Regions from separate parts of the Mus musculus genome. Here region 2 is reported to be linked to region 1. The links are microRNA targets in miRTarBase. Many come from high-throughput screens and were not tested one by one. Region 1 holds a microRNA gene; the other region holds the end of a gene's coding sequence.

Region 1 (12,776 bases):
TGGTCTTTCTCAGAATTCAGTGTGGGGTGGGGTAGGGGAATTTCTTTGAGAACTGCTAATGTTGTTTTGGCAGCTGCAGGCTTAGTCATTTTGACCACTAAAACTATATAATTTGGAAGTCCCTTCAGAGGAGAAGGGGCTAGGTGGTCTTGAACTTATTTTGGATTCTACAGTGCTCAGTGTCCCACACTGTCAAGGAGAGAAAGGCTGAGTAAGCTGGAACAGGACAGAACTATGGAGAGCTTGGGTCTGCTGAAGGGACCTGGGTGGAGGTATAGGAGAGGATTAGTTTTATCAGTAAGTTAGTTTGGCCCAGAACCCTGGTCAAAGCACAGTGCTCAGTAGATACAGGCTTGAGCTAGAGTTGTAACCCAGGAAAGCATGGTCTATTAGCTGAGGCAGCCTGGGTACTAACAGAATTTACAGCCTGGGCTCTGTCAGGAAAGAAGGCAACTATGTTCTGAAAGGAGATCCCATTCCATCAGCAAGAACCTTCTGAGCCGGGCGTGGTGGTGCACGCCTTTAATCCCAGCACTTGGGAGGCAGAGGCAGGCGGATTTCTGAGTTCCAGGCCAGCCTGGTCTACAGAGTGATATTTAGGACAGCCAGGGCTATACAGAGAAACCCTGTCTCGAAAAAAAAGAAAGGAAGGAAGGAAGGAAGGAAGGAAGGAAGGAAGGAAGGAAGGAAGGAAGAAAGAAAGAAAGAAAGAAAGAAAGAAAAAAGAATCTTCTGGAACTATCTCAGGTGAGCATGAGGGAGACAGTCCGGGCAGATACAGACTTCTATTTACTGTGAGCCACACAGAGTCCCTACAAGGTCACAATAGTCTTTGGGGATTGCAGGCCTGTGCTGCTGTTGTCTGGTTTTTACACTGAATTCTTGGACCTGAACTCAGGTGGTCCTGCTCCCATGACAAGCACATCACCATTGAGCTATCTCTGCAGCTCCAAGAGTAGGACATTATAAAGGGGCTTCACAGCAGGCAAGACAGGAGTTACAGGAAGGGCATAGGGATCAGGATACCTGCTAGGCTCAACTTCCTCCTTCCTCCTCATATAATCGTGGTGTGGTGCTTCCAGCAGTAAGAATATCCAATTAGGAAAAGTCGGAGACCCTGGCATAACAGGCTCAAAGGATCACTAAGGGCTTAGTGGCCAGCACAAACTCAGAAAGTAAATCATGCCAGTGCTGTAGATCCTGTGCCTGCTTCCAGCTTCTTTAGGCCCTGAAGTCACGTACACAAACCCACCTGACACATAATTAAACCTTTGTTTTCGAGACAGGGTTTCTCTGTATAGTCCTGGCTATCCTGAAACTCTTTGTAGACCAAATTGGTTTTGAACTTGAGATCTGTCTGCCACTGCCTCCCAAGTGTTGAGACTAAAGGCGTGCGCTACCATGCCCGGCAAAATATAAATCTTTTTTTCTTTCTAAAGGTCGATGGTATATCTCAGTGATTGCCTAACATGCAGCCAGTCCTGTCTTCCATCCCCAGTATCCTGTAACCCTGGTGTGGTGGTGGCACACGCCTGTCATCTCAGTACTTAAGAGCTAAGAGGAGGATCGGGAGTGCAAGATTATCTAAGGCTGTGTGGGGAGTTAGAGATCAGCTTGGGCTCTATGAGACCTAATATTCAAAAACCAGGAGTAAGTAATAATATAAATAAACAGAAGGGATGGGGTGTTGACGCAGCTTCCGCTTCTCCTTCCATAGAACGTCTATAGTCGCTTCAGAAGAGATGTCTTTGCTCCACGTCGGTCTGATGTGATGTTGTGGAGCCCCAATGCTCAAAATTCTTACCCAGAAGGAGCATATCGGAACAGGAGCCGAGTGAGGTGTGATTCGCCAAAACCATCACCTGCCGATCCCGCCTTCTGGATGGCGTAAAAGGATGTGAAAGACGCAGAGGCCTGGGAGTGCACGCGTTCGCAAGAACGCAGCAGAAACCCAGAGTACCGCCGGCGCAGCTTCTCACGCTCCAGCGCGTCGGGGAACAGCGGCCGGGCCGCCGCATGCGCAAAGAGGCTCACGCGCATGCGTCTCACTAGGCCATCCTTCTCTGGAGTCCTCACGCAGTCCCTTCCCGCCCTCCTCCGGTCTTCACTTCCGGTGTTTCCCAGCGACAGCCGTAAATGGCGCGCGAAGCGGCCCGCGAGGCCGTCGTAAACGTCGCCCTTCGCGCCACTTCCGGCCGGCTTCTGTGGCCGGTGCTGGTAAGCGATCGTGAGGCGGCGGAGGACGTTGCCAGTGGCTGCAGCCATGGAGATGCCGATGCCGCCAGATGGTGAGGCCGGTCCCTGAGCTGAGGTCGTTGGGTTCTTCTCGTGTGCCCCCGCCGGCCAGCCGTGCCTCCTCGCGTTGCCGGGCCAGTGACGGAGCGCGCTGCGGCCTCGCCGCTCCTCCCTCGGCCTCTCCGTGGTTCCCCGCATTCCTGGCGCGCGCTTGGCCCTAGTCAGGACCCGTACACCACCGCCTTGCAGTGGCCCGCCCCAGAGGACCCCGGCCTGGTCCCCGGGTCAGGCTGCCCCCACTGACGCCTTTTCCTCTGTTTTGCAGATCAGGAGCTTCGAAATGTCATCGATAAGCTCGCTCAGTTTGTGGCTCGCAACGGACCCGAGTTCGAGAAAATGACGATGGAGAAGCAGAAGGACAACCCTAAGTTCTCGTTTCTGTTTGGAGGCGAGTTCTACAGTTACTACAAGTGCAAGCTGGCACTGGAGCAGCAACAGCGTGAGTTCCCCTCAGGCCCTCAGCCGCCTCGGGGTTCAATGCGGGCCCCGCCGCAGCCAATTTCTTTAGAGTTGCAAGTTTCCTCTGCAGAGCAGAGCAGCCGTTCTTCTGTCCTACCCGGAGCCCTGTACCAAGATAGACTGCTGGATCTGTGTGTCATAAGGAGAGACTATCATATATTCTCTATCCAGGCTTTTGGGTCGGGAGTGGTCCCTGGGTGGTCTTTGCAGAGGCAATTGCGGATCTGCAGGAAGGTGGGAACTGTGCAAACTGTGCAGCCTTTCTGCAGGCTGAGACCATAGCTTTCTGCATTTCAGGTGCATAGATCAAAAAGCTTTCCCTTTAGTTTTTGCAACGTTTTTCTTTTCCTTTTTTTTTTTTTTTTTTTTTTGCTTTCGAGATAGGGTTTCTCTGTGTAGTCCTGACTGTTCTAGAGCTAGTTTTGTAAACTAGATTTAAACATCAAGAAAAATATGATTAAAAATAATAGAAATAATAAAAAGTTTAGAGCCAGGGATGATGGGACCACCGCTTTAATCTCAACACTTAGAAGGCAAAGGCAGGTCGATCTCTGTGAGTTTGTGGCCAACTGATTGTACAAGTTCCAGTACAGGCAAGACTACATAGACTGCCTAAAAAAAAAAAAAAAAAAAAACAAAAGAAAAAGGAAAATGAGTGAAGAAGCACAGCTGGTCTTTAAGGGCCTCACACCATATCCCAGGTTGGCCTGGCAGTATGTTATCCAGCCTAGCTTCCAGTTCAAAGCAGCCTTCCTGCATCAGCTTTTCAGCATACCCAAGCTTTGAATAGTAACAGCAGATTTTATGGTTTCTGAGAGCAGAACTCACATCTGTCATATCTAGGGTAGCTCTCTAGTCTCTGAATAAACTGTGGAAATAAGTGTCTGGACTTGCAAAGCCAATGAGTAGTCAGAGTGATAGTGGCTGAGCTACAGTCCTCTTTGATGCCAAACATACTTGGTTATACTCCAGCAATGTATTGTAGGTGGTTGATAGAAAGCTTGTAGGGCAGGCAGACTTGAGCCCATGGAGCACAGGGACTTGAAGAAGGTATGTATTCAGAGAGGAGACATCACACATGTGAACTGAGGGGTTTTTCATATGCCAAGGAGGGGTAGGACTAGAGTCTATTGATCATAAGGTTTTGGTTCCTATTCAGTTGTGGTAGAGGTTGACATCACCATCAGAGTGTCTGTGTCCTCATGCGTGTTTAGAGAGGTCATTCCTTAGCCCCAGAGCACCAAGTTCATAGCCATCCTAAAGCTGATGGCGGTTGAAACAGATTCCAGCAGTGTGTTCTAGTGGACAGACTGGAATTAGGAAAGGTGGTGATCATGAACATGGAAGTGGGAGAGGTCGAAGGTAGAGCCATTGAGGATGGGTAAGGGATGGTAAGTGAAAGGAGTTTAGACCGTGCCTTATTATATATCCCTATACAGGAAGCCTGTGCCCACCCCTGTACAGTCACTTGTTTAGGCTTTCAACTTAAAACCATACCTGGGGGTGGGTGGGTATGGGGGACTTTTGGTATAGCATTGGAAATGTAAATGAGCTAAATACCTAATAAAAAATGAAAAAAAAAAACATACCTGGAAATGGAGAATACATGTAAGCTTTGGCACATTAGGGATTGGGAGACAAGAGGACATTCTGCCAGCCATAGCACAGTAGAATGAATATATTGGACATGACAGGGACAAGGCAGGCTGAGGGTGGTGGGTGGTGGAAGTCAAGAGAGATTGGGTTTAGACACAAGGGAGATACGCAGTAGAGAGGACCTGCTTTGCTGAGGAGCTATGAGCATTGCTTAGAAGTAACAAGGCTCAGAAAGGGCTTCAGGTCAACTAAACCCAGGACTGTTCTAGAATGACATTTTGTAAGAATTGTGGTAAAGCACTAGTCAGCTGGGTGTGGTGGTACATACCTTTAATCCCTGCACTCGGGGGACAGAGGCAGGTGAATCTCTTGAGTTAAGGCTAGCTTGGTCTACAGAGAGTTTTTTTCCCTTTTTTGTTTGTTTGGTTGGTTGGTTTTCTTCTTCTTTTTTTTTTTTTTTAAAGATTTATTTATTATTATATGTAAGTACACCGTAGCTGTCTTCAGACACTCCAGAAGAGGGAGTCAGATCTTGTTACAGATGGTTGTGAGCCACCATGTGGTTGCTGGGATTTGAACTCTGAACCTTCGGAAGAGCAGTCGGGTGCTCTTACCCACTGAGCCATCTCACCAGCCCCGGTTGGTTGGTTTTTGAGACAGGGTTTCTCTGTGTAGCCCTGCCTATCCTGGAACTCACTTAATAGACCAGGCTGGGCGAGACCTCAGAAATCTACCTGCCTCTGCTTCCTAAGTGCTGGAATTAAAGGCATGCACCACCACTGCCCAGCTACAGAGAGTTTCTAAGACAGTCTACACAAAGAAAACTTTTCTAGTTTAAAAAAAAAAAAAATTCTACTCCTATCATGGTCTTGTTTTTGTAAAGTACAATAAAAATGTGAGCTGTAGGGTGTTGCTTGTTCCATAGCAATTGACACTCAAGGCTGCTCACAAGCCACTCTGACTGCTGTGGTAGAGGCCTGTTCTGGTGTAGAACACAGTTTCCTATTAGGTGTGATACACGCAAAGGCAGATCGATAGCAGTGATGTGGAAGAGTGCATGTAGTTGGCATGCTGTTGACTAGTGTGAGGGTATGTATACCGCTCATCTGAGTGGCTTGCTATACTCGACTGGGAGGCAGTGCAGGGACTTTGAGAGGCCTAAGTCTGTGAAAGCCCAATGGCCCATGGTGACACCTCCAAAGTGGAGCTTCCAAAAGGAATATGGGATCTGGAGCTTATGAACCAGTATGAACCAGGCAGACATGTAGGGTGCCATTAAAGCCTAGGTGACACTGTCTTTCTTTGCTTTTATCCAAAGTCATTTGTTTTGATGAGTCTTAGGCTCCTAAGAGTGTGGCTATGTTCAGTTGAGGCAGGCAGGGCCTAAAAGTAGAGAGTAAGGAGGCCATATTGTTAAAGTCGTACCTGTGAGTAGGGGCCTTCCTCTCCAGAGACCTTATCTGGGTACATGCCAGCCTCATATACAGTCATACCAGGGTGTTGCTGGTGATTCAAGCTAGTCCAAAGGCTGCAGATTGGGACGGTCACCACAAGCCACAAGAGGTGGGGCTGGTCTTGGGGGCACTCCAGCCCTATGTGTACTGGCCAGACCTCCAGAATGCTGGCTGTCTTGAGTGAAGGGGAGATTAGGATCCAGTGGCTTGGGACAGACACACCTTGGGAGAGGTGCCACATCTCCAGCCCTGGTCATAGCTTGCAGTGCATAGTAGCTTGGTCAGGCCTGCATGAGAAGGGAAGATGGAAGGGTCAGCCTGTCTTGGGACAGTGAGATCAAGCACAACAGGGAAGCTTGGGCAGGATGGCCGTGTGCGGTGGACAGTGGATCCATCAGGTCCTCTCTCTGGAGGGCAACCTGATGGATCACCAAAAGGAACCTGGGGCACCCCCTGAGCTCACAAGGCCCATCTCTTTCCTGCTAGTAATCTGCAAGCAGCAGGCCCCAGAGCTGGAGCCCACCTCAGCCATGCCCCCTCTGCCACAACCTCCGCTGGCTCCCACAGCGTCCCTCACTCCGGCCCAGGGCACCCCATCAATGGACGAGCTCATCCAACAGAGCCAGTGGAGTCTCCAGCAGCAGGAACAGCACCTGCTGGCCCTGCGCCAGGTATGCCTGCATGTACTGTCAGTGACCCTGGAGTCACCTTCCAGTAGGTCTGTGGGTCATCCACAGGCATCGCTCAGTGGACTTGTACCCATTGTGGATGCCAACACATGGCGGCTTAGGTACCTACCATTCTTAATGAGTAGGGAGGGGCATTATTGGCCCCATCTTTTAGGTTGGTTCTGTTGCCAAATTCTATAGGGATGAGCTACCTGAAATGAAAGGAGAGAAGACATACAGACCTGAGTGCCAGCCCCACTCAGGGTTTCCTTGCTTACCACCATCACATATCATGCATGGATGTTTACCATCAGTCATAGTCTGGACAGTTAGGTCTTAGACAGCAGAACCAGCCTCTACTCTTGGTGACCTATACCTACTATTTACTTGCTTGTGTTTAGATTGGTTTGGTTTGGTTTTGAGATAGCATCTCCCCAAGCTGCCCTCAGCCTCCCAAATGGTCACAGGCACATGTGTTAGCCTTTACCCCCTGCCTTGCTCTGCTTAGGTGATCCATGAGCACCCTGCCTCCTTCACATTTTCCTGTTAGCTTAGGCCAGGCTGCCTTGCCTGCTGTGATGATGGACGATACCAGTGTTTGTGCAAGGGCCCTGCTCATACCACCTGTCCCTTGTGGTTTTCCCAGGAGCAAGTAACGACAGCCGTGGCACATGCAGTGGAACAGCAAATGCAGAAGCTGCTGGAAGAGACACAACTGGACATGAGCGAGTTTGACAACCTGCTACAGCCCATCATTGACACCTGCACAAAGGATGCCATCTCGGTGAGGCTCAGTATGGGGTGGGGGTGTCGTCGCCTGCCCGACTGACCACCCACTCACCCTGGACTGACTCTCAGGCTGGGAAGAACTGGATGTTCAGCAATGCTAAGTCCCCACCACACTGTGAGCTGATGGCAGGCCACCTGCGCAACCGCATCACTGCTGATGGCGCACACTTCGAGCTGCGGCTACACCTCATCTATCTGATCAATGACGTGCTGCACCACTGGTAAGTACTTGACCACTTGGTCCAGAGCCCACACCTGTCAGGGACCCCCAACTCCTCCAGTTTCCACCCTTGCTGCACTTGCACACTGGTTCACTGCTTGTACTCCCAGGACAGTGGCTGGCACCCCACAAGGCAGGCCTTGGGCACTGCTGCCTCCTCTCTGCCTCTGTAGCCATCATGTGTCTGCTTCGGTCTGCATAGCCAGACACCTGGCCGATGCACTGTCTGCTCTTCCATGTCTTAGGGCTACCTTTGCTGATCCTCTCTCCATCAGTCTTCTCTTTGCATTGTATTTGGCTCCAGCCTCCTGGGGCCTGGTAGGTGTGTCTTTGCATGGCCAGCGGGTGAAGTTGATGAAGGAAAACAGAGTCCAGAACTCTGGTCAGAGACAGGTGCAAAGGTCCCATGCTAGTGACACATGCCAACAGTCAGCTGGGCTGGCTGCCCTCTGGCTTTCAGCATGATCTTGAGGCTAGGACAGTTGATAAGTATATATGGCTCCCATGAGAGCAGGAGAAGCTGGTATCTTTCTCCCTAACTATCTTCATGCGACCCCTCCTTGTCAGGCTGTGTCCACACCCTCCTGCTTTGTACTCTATTTCCTCTCAAGGTGTCTTGCTCCTGCCTCTTAGGTAGGGCCTCTGCGCAGATGGCCTCTCTCCCACTCCCTGGGACACTCCTCACTCGGCTCACACAAAGCTCTGACCTGCACTGCCTTCCCTTGCCTACCTCCTGGCCAACTCTTGCTGCCCTTTGACCTCAGCTGTGGGAGCTGAAGCTATTAGTCCCTGCCTGCACCTTTCCTGGGTCTGCATATGGGCTGTCTTGCTGAGCCACTACTACTCCCGAGGCCTGAATACTGCACAGCTGGAAGGGCTGCCTTTGGCTGCTTCTTTCCCTTTATCCCCTCTCAGTGGCACTGAGCATGGAAGCCAGGGCCTTGGCACCTGGTAGGCAAATGCTGTGCCTTGTGTTGACCACAATCCTCATGGGTGGTTAGGCTCCCGGTAGCTTTCTCAGTGGCCCTATGAGGCTGGGGAATCCCTTCTGAGCAGATTGTTGAACCTGCTTGTGCATAGTAGTGACCAGGTCCTAACCACAACGGCCCAATTTCACCCTTTACACACATGCAAGGGCTCTAATGAGTCCTTCTAATAGTGAAGGTCTTGTTCTGAATAGCCCTGGAGTGTACACTCTGCCTCTACCTGTCTCCTAAGACAAGGCACCTACACTGTAGATAGTCTTGCTGTTGCCCTCTGGTTTGGGGTGGGGGGCATTTCCTGAGGAGAGGGTGCTGTGGCCACAGCCGCATGGTAACGGGTGCGTGGCTGGGTCCTGCCCCAGGGCCCTGACGCGCGGAAGGTCTCTCCCTCACAGCCAGCGCAAGCAGGCCCGGGAGCTGCTGGCTGCCTTGCAGAAGGTGGTAGTACCCATCTATTGCACCAGCTTCCTGGCTGTGGAGGAGGACAAACAGCAGAAGATTGCCCGGGTATGGGGCTGCTGGGGCTGGGTGGTTGGGCAGGCAGGTGGCTGGGTGATGTGAGCTCTGTTTAACAAGTCTCCCTCTGCACCAGCTCCTGCAGCTCTGGGAAAAGAACGGCTACTTTGATGACTCCATCATTCAGCAACTGCAGAGCCCTGCCCTGGGACTTGGTCAGTATCAGGTGAGCATCACACAGCGGGAGCTACCCATCATCAGGACGTTTAAAACTGCCCACTATTGTTTTCATCGATGAGTCGGGCTGCATCACACACAGCCTTTGGCTCTTGGGATCCTGGGCTGGTGTCCTTAGTGGCAGTGCTCCTGTTCTTCCCCACCAGGCGACTCTCATCAATGAGTACTCGTCAGTGGTGCAGCCTGTGCAGCTGGCCTTCCAGCAGCAGATCCAGAGCCTCAAGACACAGCATGAAGAGTTCGTCAGCAGCTTAGCCCAGCAGCAGCAGCAGCAGCAACAACAGCAGCAGCAGCAGCCGCAGCCACAGCCACAGCCACAGATTCAGCTGCCTCAGATGGAAGCAGATGTGAAGGCCACACCCCCACCACCAGCACCACCACCAGCCTCAGCACCTGCCCCCACCATCCCACCAACTACCCAGCCAGGTATGAGGTTCCCTCCACTCTTGAAACTGACTTCCCCAAATGACAGAAAGCACTCTTCCCTCCTGGACACCTGCTCCACAGCCCGCCCACTGCTGGGCCAAGATTGATCTGCTTATGTGTCCAACCAGGTAAACACTCCCGACTGGCTTGCACCTTAATCCACACTTGGTGCATGGTTGAAACTATGGTCCAGGGCTGAGTGGGCTCAACACATAGAGCCGAGTCCTAGACAGACACACATGTTACATGCCTATATCTAGTGTTTTAGTGTACATGTGTATGTGTGTAAAGGACCACATCTGAAGAAACCTGGATAAGATCTGAAATGAGCAGCTAGGAAGCTGAGGCAGGAGGAGTTTAGACCAGACTGGGATATAAGGCAAGAATCAGTATCTCAGAAGAGTTCTAGCCATACATGGTAGCTAATGGTTGTGATCTTAATCCTGTAAGTTCAAGGCCAGCCTAAACTGTACCTCAAATTATTCCCCCAAAGACTGAGGTGAAAATGTTTAACTGGGGGTACAGGGATGGCTCAGTCAGTAAAGTGCTTTCCATGCACGTGGAGGACTTCATTTGAATGGTCAGTGAGCTCCAAATTCATTGAGAGACTCAAACAGATGGGGTGCCAGAGATGGCTCAGGAGGCATAAACTCATTTACAGGATCTGATGACCTTGGATTGAGCCCTAGGGTCGCAGGAGAGAGCCTGCTGCCAAGAGTTGCCCTATGACCACCATTCATGCACCCATGTGCATGCCTGTAAGCACACAGCTGTTACTTAAAAAGTAACTCTTGCCAGGCGGTGGTGGCGCACGTCATTAATCCCAACACTCGGGAGGCAGAGACAGGCGGATTTCTGAGTTTGAGGCCAGCCTGGTCTACAAAGTGAGTTCCAGGACAGCCAGGGCTACACAGAGAAACCCTGTCTCGAAAAACAAAAACAAACAAACAAACAAAAAAACAACCAACAAACAAAAAAAATAACTCAATAATTCTGTGAATAGACAAGACAGGACATGCCATGAGCATAGAGAATGTCCCTCCGCTCTTGGATCTCTAGAGGGGGGTGGTGGTGACATTTGGAGGGGTGGCTTCCAGTGAGCTTAGGAAGTACAAGTCCTGTCCTGGGCTGGCTTGGGGGTGCTTGAGGGTCAACAGCCTCTCCTGCTGACTAGCTGCCTCTTATTGTATGTCACCTGTGTTAGATGACAACAAGCCTCCCATCCAGATGCCTGGCTCTTCAGAGTACGACACCTCTGCAGGTGTCCAGGATCCTGCAGCTGCTGGCCCTCGAGGTCCTGGCCCCCATGAGCAGATCCCGCCAAACAAGCCCCCTTGGTTTGATCAGCCTCACCCAGTTGCCCCTTGGGGTCAACAGCAGGTATTTCCTAAAATCTGTTGGGGCATGCACATATGGCTGAGTCAAAAGCCTGCCCACATCAGGGAGTGGTGTCACATGCTTTTAATCTCAGCACTTGAGGTAGGGGCAATCAGATCTCTGTGAGTTGGAGACCAGCCTGGTCTATAGATCCGAGTTCCAGGACAACCAGGGATATACAGAGAATCCCTGTCTGGGGGGGTGGGGGGGGGGCTGCTTGCACCTAATGAGGACCTGTGGGGCAGCAGGCAGGCACAGCCATAGTAGCTGAAAGACAGTAGAGCATAGGCAAAGCCCTGTCTCCGTGCTACCATTATGTGGGCTATTCAGGCCCTTGTTTGCCTGTCTTTACTAGTGTAGCTTTCAGGTCTCTCATAAAGGGACTGAAGGAAGATCAGAAGTGGTGGGCTTCTCTAGGAATCTGTAGGTGGTGGCTGCAGTGCCAAGACTCTGGGTGGCTCAGAGTAGCAGACTTGTAGACAGGGCAGCAGCGGTCATGTGGTACATGACCAAAACTAATTTATAATTTGCTAGGTGAGATTGTCTGGAGTATCTAGGTGTAATACGCTTTCCCCTCAATAGGGCATGGCCTATTTATCTGTTGAATATGGCCTTTCTGGTGACTCTTGACTGTAGAGGACACTGATGGGTACCAGGCATGTGGCCCTGCCCTAAGAGCTTCAAGTCTCAAATCTGAGCCTTCTACCCTTCAGCTTCAGGACTAGCAGGTTTACTTGACATGAGATAGATACTCCTTGTAGACAGCACCCATGTCCTGGAAGTGCCAGCTGTGAACCTTATGGGGTGGGCACATGGGAACCTCTGAGGGAGGTAGGGAACAGGCCTTATTGTGTAAGCTCAGTAAGATCTGGGGGCTAGAAGTCTGGTCCACTGAGGTTTCTTAGCCAGTGTGGCAGTTCAACCAATAAAACTAGAGGTCTGGGGTGAGTAAGCAGTCCAGGTAGATGGAATTTCATCCTTAGAAGTGGGGTTGGAGCCAGGACAAGGGAGCATGTTTAATCCCAGTCTTTGGAAAGTTGATGTAGGATTAGGTTCCAGGCTGTCCTGGAACTAGAGTGCCACCTCCACCCCACCCCAATGCCTATTTAATACTGACCAGGCTTCTCTAATCCTGCCTTCAAGGCACCTTAGAGATTGTTTCTGTTATTGGGATTACAGCCTTCTTCTCCTCTTGGAAGCCTGAAAGAGCACCCTATCAGCCTAGCATGGGTCATGCAGCATGCTGCCTTGGGAGTGGCAGAGGACCTCTCCTGTGTAACTCCTGTCCCAAATCTAAGATTCTGTCATCCCTGCTGTAAGTGGTCTGAGCAGTAGCTAGGAATATCTTGAGCCACATGCATCTGTTTACCTGGCTAAAGAAACAAGGACAAGCTGGGCATGGTGGCACACGCCTTTAATCCCAGCACTCGGGAGGCAGAGGCAAGCTGATTTCTGAGTTCGAGGCCAGCCTGGTCTACAAAGTGAGTTCCAGGACAGCCAGGGCTACACAGAGAAACCCTGTCTCGAAAAACCAAAAAAAGAAAAAAGAAAAAGAAACAAGGACAGGTGTTCCAGGCTAACCTTAGGCAATGTTCTGGACGAGTAGGGTTATGATGCAGAATGGTAGTATAAGACTCACAGTCCAGCATGCTGGGATATTCTGAGTCATGGTATGGGATGCACCTGTGTTATGTCCCAGTTGGGATCTGGTGCCTGTTAGGACTTGGGGAGGAAGGTACTGGGTCCAGGTATAAGGACCCAGTGGCCATAGTCAGTTTTATGTATGAATGTGCAAATGTGCATTTGGACCTAGGGT
Region 2 (12,776 bases), not on the chromosome of region 1:
GGGCGACACAGCCACCACAGTGGCCGGAGAGGACACTCAATTCTCCCTGGTGAACAGAGCTCACGATGAATGCTTTGAGGTTAGTGTATAACTGCACAGCGTGGCCTGCCAGCCTCGGTTTCTCCTGGGCTTTTGTTCTTGTTTATTAATTTATTAGTGGATGCAGGGTGTGTCGAGTACCTGGCTCTCCCAATTTAAACACTAAGATTGGGCTATTACACATAGAAATCCCATCTGAAAATAAGCAAACCAAACAAAAAAGTTATTTCGGATTTCTGCACAAATTGCAAGTTTTGCTAACACAGGAAATTATATTAAACTAAAAATACTCAGGTAGCTTTTGCACTGGTTCTTTTTTTTTTTTTTTTTTTTTTTTTTTTTTTTGGTTTTTTCGAGAGACAGGGTTTCTCTGTATAGCCCTGGCTGTCCTAGAACTCACCCTGTAGACCAGGCTGGCCTCGAATTCAGAAATCTGCCTGCTTCTGCCTCCCGAGTGCTGGGATTAAAGACATGCGCCACCACGCCCGGCGCGCTGGTTATTTCGTTTTGTTTTGTTTGTTTTAAAGGGTCTCTCTGTGTAGCCCTGGCTGCCCTGGAACTGTCGTGTAGACCAGGGTGGCCTTAAACTCATAGACCCCACCATCACCACCACCTCTGGCTGGGATTAACTGTGATTGTGAGTAGGACCTAGATAACCCAGGGGACAAGCCTCTAGGCACTGAGTCTGAGAGGTTACCTGGGTCGGGTTACCTGAGTGGAAAAACACTTTAACTCTGGGCAGAACCAGTCGGTCAGCTGGAGTGCTGTACTGAATAGATAGAAGAAATTCAGTTTAGCACTCACTTTCATCCTTCCTGTTTCCTGACTGTGGAGGCAGTGAGCGCCGCTACCTGAAGAAGCCCATGACTCGCTTCCCCACAGTGATGGACTGCACCCTCAAACCATGAGCCAAAAGAAACCCCCCACCATAAACTAACAGTATATAAAGCTAACATTTAAAGTGTAGGGCTGGGGTTAGAGGTCAGTTTTCAGAGTACTTGCTTAGCATGTGCAAAGCCATGGTTGGATCCTAGCACCACATACATGGTGTGGAGGCACACACCTATAATGCCTATAATCTCAACACTTGTGATGTGCAGGCAAGAATGTCAGACGTTCGGCTGGACAGACAGATGGCTCGGTTGTTTTGTTTTGTTTTGTTTTTATTTGTTTTTATTTTTGTTTTTTTTTTTTTTTTTTTGTTTTTTTTTTTTTTTTTTTTTTGGTTTTTTGAGACAAGGTTTCTCTGTGTAGCCCTGGCTGTCCTGGAACTCACTCTATAGACCAGGGTGGCCTTGAACTCAGAAATCCGCCTGCCTCTGCCTCCGGTTGTTAAGAGCACTTGTTGCCGTTGCAGAGCCTGGGTTAGGTTGTCAGCATTCACATAGAAGCTTGCAATCCTCTGTAAGTCCAGTTCCAGGAACCTGACACCCTCTTCTGGTCTCCACAGTCACCAGGCATGCAAGTGATGAACACATACATGCAGGCAGAACACTCACATAAAATTATAATTAAATAAAAACGGTAGATTTTTTTAAATGCTTTGTGAATTATGTCTGACATTATTCATAGACAAACATAATTTTTTTAAAGAAAAAGTTAAATGAGTCTAATTATTTAATCCTTTAGGAAAAATAATAGGCAAAATATCAAGGAATTAGAGAAAGCCCAGAAAATTAAAGAGGATTCTAAGAAACTATCCTCTGAAATCAAGGCTCACCGCTAGCTGCATGCCACATCTGGTGGAGAGCTCACACGGGGTTGGCTAGCTCCACCTGAACCAAGTGGTGGCCATTGGTCCCAGCATTCTGTCTGTGCAGTGCTCCGTTTCAGCACTTGAGTGTGCAAGGGCAATCCTGGCTAGAGACACACCCGCTTGGCACGACCTCTGTTAGATATGTGACATTCCTGTTGATCAAAGCCCTTGTTCTGAACACCAATTCCACACAGAGCACATCTTAGGTTCTTATCTGTTTGCCAGGTTGCATTAGGCATAGGAACGATTCTTCACAATGTGGCCCAGAGTCACCCTGATGATAATCCTGACCAGACCTTGTCACATGAAGGTAAAGATGTCAGTGCAGGCTTCGGGTTGTAGAGTCCATGGTGAATGTGCAAATTCACAACTCAGTGTTCGGTATCTCCTCCCCTCAAAGGTGTGTGCAGTTACAAGTGACTGCATCCACTTTGGTGCCCTCCTGTTTGCTGTAGCTCCCAGGAAAGCAGACGTGGAAGGCTCGGGGATGTAAATGAAAGGTGCTCGAGACGCTTAATCCTGCCTACTGATTGCATGGTCACGAAGGTCGTGGCTGCTCTGAATGCGGCTCGGTAGAGCATGAGGCCCTTGGTTTGAGTCCCAGCACAGTTACAAATCTAACCTGCTCAACTCCACTCCATTCTCTGGCCCAGACAACGATCATCTGTCATGCACCAACTTTCAAACATCCCTGGACAAGGTGCCCTTGCTCCCACCTGTCTCCTTGAACTTATTTCTTAAACCCGAGAAGAAAGGCAGGGCGACAAGTCCAATTTGAGTTTAGCCACAAAACAAAGGACATGGAGTCTTGCTAATGCTAGGTAATGTACCATTCTGATTGGCTGGCAGTCCTAGCCCCTTCCTCTCTGGATTTTTCTTTGCCCACAAGGCTTGAGCCAACTGGGCTGAGCATTTTCTGTGTGATGTGCTCTGAGTATTTACTTCGTCCCCTAAACTCATGAATTAACCCCCCCAGAAAACCAAAGCAAGAGTGGGTCAGGGGACTTCAGACTTCAGGGTTAAAGCTGAGTCTGTGAAGAGTTAGCATACATGGTGACGAGGACACAGTCTGTAAATGGCAGTGCTCCTACTAGACAAGTTAATTTCACAAACCTGCTTGAGTGTGCCGACATGCTTGTGATCACAACACTCCTGAGGTACAGGGAGAGGCAGGAGGACCTCGAGTGTGGGGACGGCCTGAGCTACATATGCCTGTCTCAAGCAACAAAAAAAACTTTTTAAAAGTTCATAAGTGCCAGGTGTGGGGGCCAGAGAGATGGCTCAGCAGTTAAGAGCACTGACTGCTCTTCCAGAGATCCTGAGTTCAATTCCCAGCAACCATCTGGGGGCTCACAGCCATCTATATTGGGCTCTAGTGCCTTCTTCTGGTGTGTCTGAAGACAATGACAATGTACTCACATACATAAAAAAAATAATCTTAAAAAAAAAAGAGCCAGGTGTGGTTGCAAATGGCTTTAATCCCAGTACTCGGGAAGCCAAGGCAGGAAAAGCTTTGTGTTTTTAAAGATAGCCTGGTCTATGTAGCTAGTTCCAGGACAGCAGGGTTACATAGAAAGGCCCTGCCTCAAAAAAAACAAAAACAAACAAACAAACAAAAAAAGCCCCAAATTATAATAATAGTAATAACAAAAATAAAACACAATTCTGAAGACTGTGACATTCTTTATGTGTGGTGCTTGTACAACATCAGGCAGTAAGGGAAGTCCACAGCCAGCTGTCGATTCAGGATCACGAGGGTTCTATCAACTTTTCAGTGGGTCCCGAGGTTTGGAAAGTAGAGTGTCATTGGACCTAATTATTACTATTAGGTTGTTGTTAGGAAAAAAACCAAAACAAGACAAAATTAAAAAACAAACAAAACCAGAGGCCAAGCCTGGTAGTACATCCCTGTAATTCAGCACTCAGGAGACTGGGGGACGAGGATCAGGCAGATGTTCAAGGCCACCTGCCTCACACAACAACCAAAATAATATTGATAGCAGAATGAAATTAGGGCTTTAGGAAATCCAACTTATGGAACAGCAAAGTAAAGTTGGTGTCATGTGAATAATGTAAATCCTCCCATACCATGGCTTACATAAGAAACCGGAGGGATTATTAACATCATAGTAATATATAGTAATTCATAGACACAAACTACAGAAAAGACAGGCTGGTGGCAAGAGGCAGAGGTGGGTGGATCTTTGTGAGTTTGAGGCCAGCCTGGTCTAGAAAGCTAGTTTCAGGACAGCCAGGGCTACATGGAGAAGCCCTGTTTCCAAAAACAAAAACAAAAAAATTAATAATACAGAAAAGCAATTCATGTGTCCAGTAAGAAAATTCATTCTTTCTTTCTTTCTTTCTTTCTTGTTTGTTTGTTTGTTTGGTTTGGTTCATTTTTAAGGTCCTGGGAACTGGACGTGTAGCCTGCTACATTATACATGCAGCAAGTACTGTGTCACTAGGTTCCAGGGCCCAAAGTTCAAATGGCATCAGATTCAGACCTAGCTCTTGCGGTTGTATCAGAGTTCTGTTTGCATCTCTTTGCTGGAGGTGGCCTCCGGTGTGTCGTGTTGTGATGTTTGTTCAGTCACCAGCATAGTGGAACTTTTTATAGAACTAAACGTCCTCATCTGGGTGATCTTTACAGTTTTAGGAAATAAACATAATTTACCAGTTTTAAAGACACAGTTAACTAAATGAGCTAATATAACATTTATTCTGTATTAGTCAGTACATGAATCAATTCAGCTTGAAACCTTTTTCTCTACAGAGTATTATTTCTTTACTATCAGCTTTTGAGTCACAGTAGTACTAATTTCAATGAGGATACAAAGTGGTACTCTTATGGTTCTGATGGCTCGTCCACTTAACATTTCTACAGGCAAAGAACCGACATATGTGACATTATCAGGCCTTCTCCTGCACCTGGTCACAAATCAGAGGAGATATACGGTTTATGTTCAGACCCCAACTTCTCCATCCTTTCTACTTCCCCTTTTGCATTGTCGGTGGCTCTGCCTCACCCCTGTCCTGGCTTCTGTTGCCACCTCCTTTACACACACACACACACACACACACACACACACACACACACACCCTACCCAGGATGAGCTGTAGGAGGCCTATTATCATAGTCTTTGACAGGTGTTAACGTGTTGAATCCAACTTTATTGGGGCACCCATACTTTATGTAAAGTCATTCTAATAAATTTTGGTCATCAAGGATCATTACAAAAATTCTTTCCAAAAATGTGTGATAAAATGCAAAATGGATTGAAATTTTCAATTTCATGTAAGAAACTTAGTTGCGCTGTAAAACAGGAACTTGAACCTCAAGAACTCTACAACTGGGGTTGGGGATTTAGCTCAGTGGTAGAGCGCTTGCCTAGCAAGCGCAAGGCCCTGGGTTCGGTCCTCAGCTCTGGACAAAGACAAAAAAACAAACAAACAAAAAAAACTCTACAACTTAAACAAAGGTATTCTAAAAGTGCAAAACTGGCAGGTATAAAAGTCAAATCCTGGTGCATTTAGCATTTAACCAGGAAGTAGACTACTTATTCGGTGAAGCTGACTAAAGGAACTTTTCAAAAAACAGGGTTTGAAAGTCTAACAATTATTTTAAAAATTCTGCCACAACCCCCTAAAAACAATTCTCAGCTATATAAAAAAAAAATAATAAGGCAACTGGAAATCAGACATTTGCAGATGAAATGAACTCTGGGCTGGATGCATGTGCAAGGCTGCCCCAGGGCCTTCTCATAGGCCACAGAGCTAATGAGTCTCAAGCACGAAGCCTCTCTCGATACACTGTCGAGACCGCATTGTCTCTCAGAAGTAAAGCCGTGTCTAAGACTCCACTAAGTAGTAGACCAATTAAGATCATCCCCATCTTCATGCTGTCAAGCCCGTTACCTGGAGGAAAATTATGCAGACAGCTTTTCTGAAGAGATCCATTTGTGCCACATGCTTATTATTCTTGGAGGTGGAGGGGGTGGCAGGGAACATGATTTCTGTTGGAAAGGTCTTTTGTTTTCTGCTGCCTTTACTTAGATGTTACTGGGGACTATTTTTAATATCTTAAAAAAGTACGCTGAACAAATGTTAAGTGAATAGTCACACACAAAAAGATCGAGGCAAGTGCTTGTATCCTCTGTGCTGTGTGAATAACGCTTGACTTCAGGGGGTGAAGAGAAGACACTGAAAAATTATCAAGGATCTGATAGACGCCCCCAGCCTTAGAAATTTCCGACTTCAAGAAGAAATTTGATCTTAGCTAATGTTCATTAAAGGCAAATTTCAATGAAAATTAATGTGACTACCCTAAGTTGATGCATCTAAATGGGTCCGTTTAAGGCCACAAGGGTGTAAATTGAGTCAGAATCTTTCTATATAGTTTGCATAGAAAGTCAAACTGCTTGAAATACATCCCATTACCAAAAAAAAAAAAAAAAAAAATGATGGCAGACTTCCAAGCCATCTCTTATTTTTATAACAACAGAATAGTTTGGACCACCCTAAGATTCACTATCATTTGGCCACATAGCAGATACTTAGGGTTGTGACCCACTAATGAATTTCTGCATTCTGCTTACAGGTTGGAATTATGCTTTAAAAAGCCAGAGAAAATACTTAAGAATGAAGGAGAATATATTTTCTTATAAAAACAATCAATTATAACAATACCTTCTAACCAAAGGTATAATTATCAAATAGTAGTGTAGGGAACATACACACACACACACACACACACACACACACACACACACACACCCTGAAACCCAGGGCTACTATCTTACCCCCAAAATTACAAATTTACTTTGTGCCTGCTTTTCAAAATCTCCAAACCCAGAATATCTTCAATAACTAAGAGCTTGTATCTTATAGATTTTACTCATTCATAAGAGATTAGAAACCTTAATGTGAGTGTAATGTGGCTCTCCTTGGAGCCATTCTTATAGTAAATAGATACAGAATTGTTTAAAGTACTGCAAAGTGTACCAACTTTAACCAGGCTTTTAAAAGTTCATTTTAAACATATTTGCTGGTAGCTATCTATACAAGTCTATTAGCACCATATACAGTGGGTTAAAATATTCTTTCAAAGATGATTTAGGAGTGATTTTTAGTTTTATGTCTAAGAGGAAAACCATTAAAATAAATTTATTGAAGGGGTGTTGTGTTTTTATCTAAATTGAATGATACCCCATCACCCATTACAAACATGAAGATAGGCAAGCCTGAAGAAAATATTTTCACATTCCAGCCAAGAATCTTGCTAAACATCCACCATTTGGTTAATTTTCAAAGCCACATTAGTTACTTTTGCACAAGATCACAATATGTATTTACAAAATAAAAGATAGGAAAAAGCAGTGTATACATATGCAGCCCATAAACACAGTGTAAGTGCAAAGTGGATGAAAATAAGCAGTGCTCGCTGGACAGTGGTGGCGCACGACTTTAGTCCCAGCACTCAGGAAGCAGAGGCAGGCGGATCTCTAAGTTGGAGGCCAGCCTGGTCTACAGAGTGAGTTTCAGGACAGCCAAGGTTACACAGAGAAACCTTGTCTTGAAAACAACAACAACACAAAAAACAAAAATAACAACCAAACCAACTAGTGGTGCTCATGCCTCAAGAAGATGCTCAACAGACATTGTACCATGTGTACCACATCTTTTGTAACAAGTAGAAACAGTATCACTTAGTTTAGATAGTGGGATGGGGGTGCTGTACAATATGGACCCTAACGTGTGGGGTTGGGTAGTATGTTACAGTGTTATGGCTAGACAAAATGAAAAATACTGGTGTTGAAAATCTAGGCTTTAGTGTGAATTTTGACCTTTTATTCAGTTCATTACATAGTTTATGTTTGGCCAAGAACTATTTTCACAAGAATATTACGGTTTCCTGGCCCTTTAGCCAGGCGATGATGACCCATACCTTTAATCTCGACCAGCACTTGGGAAGCAGAGGCAGTCGGAATTCTGTGAGTTCGAGGCCAGCCTGGTCTATAGAGCGAGTTCCAGGACAGCCAGGGTTACACAGAGAAATACTATCTGGAAAAAACAAACAAACAAAAAAACAACCCAAAGAAGTAGCTCTGCTATTAGAATCCTTTGCTACCTGGGAAGTTTGCCTCCTGGATAAAAAATATACTCTTCCCCATTTGATTTCTCAGGAGAAAGGTTCACTCACAGATGGGTATATACAGGTCTTCTGGGCAGAGGGATGTTGGGGAGAGAACACACTTCCTGTGTCCATGCCTACACATGTGTTAACTATTGGCCTGACCGAAGGAACCCATGAACACCTTTAGTACAGAACTTGCTCAAGACTAGAAAAGCCCACTCACCTGATTCACCACTAGAGACAGCAGGAAGACCCTGTAAAAGGAAAGCGAATGGAGCGTTCACCTATAACCCAGGGTCGAACCATCAGAAAGAAACCCAGACTTAGTGACATTAAAGAACCATATAGCATACCCAGTGCTCAGTAGTCTTCCCTCCTCAAAGCACTGGGCTATTGCCTGCCACTTCCACACCTCCCCATAAGTCACTTCGCACTGTGATCTGTGCTGACTCCCTCCAGTCCAGAACTGTGTTTCAATGACAGAGTTTTACAACCTTCATTGATCCTTTAGCACTTCTGGGCTGGAACTGTACCCTTAGATTCCACAGATGATAAGCCTCTAATTTATTACTGAGAAAGAAGTGCCACAAAGGGATAAAAGAATTCATCTTTCAAGGGTTTTTTTCCCCCCTTTCTTTTCGTGACCTGGAAACGAAGTCACTGGAACAGCGTATTTATTTGATTATCCTCGGAAACCATTTCATTAACCAGCTGTTCTACAGACAACTCGATAGCATTCTTGACGAGAGAAGATGCTGTTTCTATTAAGAGTGTTTCATACTGTTCTGAAGTTCTCCCCTCGAAATCACTATCATTAGCAAAAACCCCCACTTGCTCGTTTTCCATTGAAATTAGGAATTGCTTAGGAACATTTTTAGACTTCTTAACATCAAATTCACTGATTTCAGTGTCAGTAATGATAATAGCAATTGGCTCCATTCGTTTGCTTTCTTCTGATCTCGGTTTCTCTGTATCAATTCCATTTTCTTTCAGATCTGGTGCATGGCTCGATATAGCTTCCTCAGCCTGATCCACTGTGGGTTCCTCTGCCTGATCCACTGTGACTTTCTCTGCCTGTCCAACTGTAGCTTCCTCTGCCTGACCCACTGTGGCTTCCTCTGCATGATCCACTGTGACTTTCTCTGCCTGTCCAACTGTAGCTTCCTCTGCCTGACCCACTGTGGCTTCCTCTGCATGATCCACTGTGACTTTCTCTGCCTGTCCAACTGTAGCTTCCTCTGCCTGACCCACTGTGGCTTCCTCTGCATGATCCACTGTGACTTTCTCTGTGTGGCCAACTGTAGCTTCCTCTGCCTGACCCACTGTTGCTTCCTCTGCCTGATCCACTGTGACTTTCTCTGTGTGGCCAACTGTAGCTTCCTCTGCCTGACCCACTGTGGCTTCCTCTGCCTGACCAACTGTGGGTTTTTCTGCCCAATCAACTGTAGCTTCCTCTGCCTGACCAACAGTAGCTTCCTCTGCCTGACCCACCGTGGCTTCCTCTGCCTGATCCACTGTGACTTTCTCTGTGTGGCCAACTGTAGCTTCCTCTGCCTGACCAACAGTAGCTTCCTCTGCCCGATCAACTGTAGCTTCCTCTGCCTGACCAACAACTGTAGCTTCCTTTGCTTGGCTCAATATAGCTTCCCCTGCCTGACCAACTGTAGCTTCTTCTGCCTGACCCACTGTGGTTTCCTCTGCCTGATCCACTGTGACTTTCTCTGTGTGGTCAATTGTAGCTTCCTCTGCCTGGCCAACTGTAGCTTTCTTTGCCTGGCTCAGTTCACCTTCCTTTGCCTGACTCAATACAGTTTCCTTTGCCTGGGCCACTGTAGTTTCCTCTGCCTGGCTCAGTTTCCCTTCCTTTGCCTGACTCTCTGCCTGGATCACAGTAGCTTCCTCTGGGTGGCCCGCTGTAGCTTCTCCGGCCTGGCTTAGTGCCCTTTTGTCTGCCTGGCCAACTGCAGCTTCCTCTGCCTGGCCCAGTGCAGTCTCTCCTGATTTCTTTTCTTCAGCAGCAGTCTTTCTCCTGTCATCTTTCCCACTTGGGGCACTTTCCCGGATGCCATTACTGGGTTCTTCCAGACTATGTTGATGTGTGGTTGCTGGTGATGGAGGAGCAGCAGAAGTCACTGACCGAGGGCTGCCTGCTGCTGAACTCTCAAGTAGACTTGCTCGCTGCGTCTGCACACTTGGCTTTTCCGTGATCACCTTAGTCTCCTTTTCCAGCTCAGGAGTTCCCATCTGGATAGCAGAAGATTTGTTTTCTAATTCCAGTTCTATGGCGATCACATTCTCTCCCGAGGTGACGCTGTTGCTTATGTGTGATTCTTGGCTCTTCTTACCATCTCTCACCAACACACCTTCCTGTAGGCCCTGGGTAGACCCAGCCTGGATTGCCTGGTCATCTGGCTGGGTCTGGGCTTTTATCTCCAAATCGTCTGCCTCTCCCTGGACTCTGACGTAGCCTGAATCTTCTGTGAGTTTGGAATGACGACTTCTCTTTGCCCCTCTTGAGAATCTTAGGCAAGGAAACTTAAGTCTGGATTTTGCCTTTTTCTTAGGAAGAGCCCCATCCTCGGGCTGCACCTCTGCCTCAGGCGGCTTCTGCTTCTTTGCAGGCTCGGACCTTTTCCTGTGTGTCACAAGGCCTTTGATGGAGGCCCAGGCACCCGCTGGTTGCCGTTGACCAGAGCCCCCAGCTTCGGGGGTATGTTTCTTTGTCTCCTCAGCAGTCCTGGAACCGGCTTTGGGTTTTGTCTTGTTCGCTTTCTTCCTTCTCTTGAAGCAGAGTGTGGCTGTTTTTCTCTCCTGCCTCTCTTTCTGAGGACTGGCTGCTACTGGTCCCTTCTCGTCCTTCGTCTCTACCTGAATCTCAGAAACGCTGGTCTCCATTTTGACGCTGCACTCTTTCATTCTCTAGAAACGTGTCTTTTCCCTTCCTCCGAAAGTCTTTTGTGACAGAAATATCACACCAGCTCCGATTTCTCCTACGTGTCCACTCTCCCCTCACACCACAGCTGTTTCTGTGACTTCTTCAGGACACGAACGCCTTGTTTATCTGAGCCTCACGGTGTCTTCTTTTAATTTACTCTTTGAATGAAAGCACTTTCCTGGCTCAACTTCTTCTTTATTTGAAGCCCAACCTGATGAGAGAAAAAAGTAGGGTTTATTTCAGGGTATTTATTTTATTACGTTATTTTGTTTGGTTTTTCCAGACAAGGTTTCTCTGTGTAGCCCTGGCTGTCCTGGAACTCACCCTGTAGATGAGGTTGGCCTCAAACTCAGAGATGCACCTGCCTCTGCCTCCCAAGTGCTGAGATTAAAGGCGTTCGCCACCACTGCCTGGAGGAAGCCTATTATTTTTAATATAAACTGTATCATATGGTGCATGCATTCCACAGAAAGTACATACTACAACAACTTAGGGCTAAAAAGCGAGGCTTGGTTTTACCCTATCAAAAAGATTTGAGTGTGAACTCATTTTGCTCAGATTTTGTTTGAGGTCACTCTGCTAGTGTGCCCAGTTATCTTCTCCAAGAATTGTTTATGGTCCCATATGGAAAGTTTAGCAAATAACAAGAAAAGAGAGGGCAGTGTGGTAGGGAAGCCTGAGTACTGTCTCATCACATACCACGAAGAACGCTGGTACTACGAGGGACATGGGAGATGGCTCACGATGAATTAATGATCAACGTGAGCTCCCAGTGGGCAGCTAGAGCTTGCAGAAAGCCTTCAGCTAGATGAGGACCTAGCCAGAGTTAGAAGTAGAAAATCTGACTCTCTGGTGTTCGTTCTATTGTAGCATAAGGTTTCTGTTCTAAAAATGTACATACATTTCACCAAGGAGGCGCTACTTTCCATACATACTCTCAGAAAAAAAAAAAATCTAGCATCGCTGTCATTCTCTACTCTTAAAAGTCGTTGTGTAACTTTGACATCTTCAGTGAAGTGCCTGCTACTCATGTTTCCCCACTGTAACTGCACACAGCTGGAGGTAAGTTAGTGACGGTTCCAGCCAACGTCGGTTGCGCGACTCCCGTGTACGAGGCAGCAGCGCTGAGCACTTTCACATACATCTCTAACCTGCACCGCAGTGTTGCAGAGTGAGGAGGTGGTGATATCTCCATCTGCAGTTAAGCAGTCTGCCTGCCTGAGACTACAAAGCTTGTCGGTGGCAACAGCGCTCAGATTTAACCCAAGACTGCCTGTTTCTGAACTGCGTTCTTTCACTGCGCCTCGAGGTCCAAGAGAAAGTAAATTGCTTTAAAATGCTAATCTGAGGCTGCTTGTGACCACGCGTGACTGTAATTCCAGCAAGTGGGAGGTGGAGGCAGGAGTCTCAATCAAGGCCATCCACAGAGCTACATAGTAGAGTTGAAGACAGCACCAGCTACGTGAGACCCTGTCTCAGAAAAACATGTAAAACTAAACTGACACATAGCTTAGTGACAGAACATTGGCCTAACGTGCCACAAGATTCTGGGTTTGAGCCCCAGTGCCACCAAAAAAAGTAATAGTCCACAGAATGGCAAGGCTTAAGGAATGAGGACCTGGAATGACTAGCTAACAACAGCTCCGTGCATTTTAGGTGCTGAGCCCTGAGTTAGGCGCAGGGGAGCCTTTCATGCATATTCTTCACAGAGCTTTCACTTGGGTACCAGTTCCCAATTCTCTGTAGAACTGGAACCCTGAAAAACCGTTTTAAGAGCTAAGGCTTTTCTTTTGTTTTTTTAAGGGTAAGTATTGAAAGCTTCATCTTTCTACAAAGAAACATAAAATTCTAGAATGATGGGACCAGTATAACATTTGCAGTCTCTCCTCACACACCCTAGCACTAGAACTAGA

The links. The annotated mature microRNA mmu-miR-7068-3p reads UCACCCUGGACUGACUCUCAG and lies in region 1 at 7,310-7,330, shown strand. An mRNA with a match to its seed (bases 2 to 7 or 8) in the 3' UTR can be bound and repressed. Matches are read on the target gene's strand: a 7mer-m8 pairs with bases 2 to 8, a 7mer-A1 pairs with bases 2 to 7 and ends in A, and an 8mer does both.
Region 2: miRTarBase lists Akap5 as a target of mmu-miR-7068-3p. Seed matches in the 3' UTR shown: 7mer-m8 at 6,566-6,572.

The regions. Positions count from the first base shown.
Region 1 is chr8:72,464,570-72,477,345 of GRCm38, reverse strand. It overlaps Mir7068 (microRNA 7068), which reads left to right and starts at 7,257; the gene lies at 7,257-7,330. Cherp (calcium homeostasis endoplasmic reticulum protein) reads left to right here and starts at 2,113. Exons shown (of 18, transcript NM_138585.3): 1 at 2,113-2,288; 2 at 2,561-2,734; 3 at 6,291-6,475; 4 at 7,119-7,256; 5 at 7,331-7,482; 6 at 8,860-8,971; 7 at 9,057-9,146; 8 at 9,304-9,583; 9 at 10,788-10,963. The coding sequence starts at 2,264.
Region 2 is chr12:76,325,864-76,338,639 of GRCm38, reverse strand. It overlaps Akap5 (A kinase (PRKA) anchor protein 5), which reads right to left. Exons shown (of 2, transcript NM_001101471.1): 2 at 4,489-11,074. The coding sequence starts at 10,823. The coding sequence ends at 8,586. Among named protein-coding and RNA genes, the nearest start is that of Akap5, 7.4 kb to the right of the region's middle.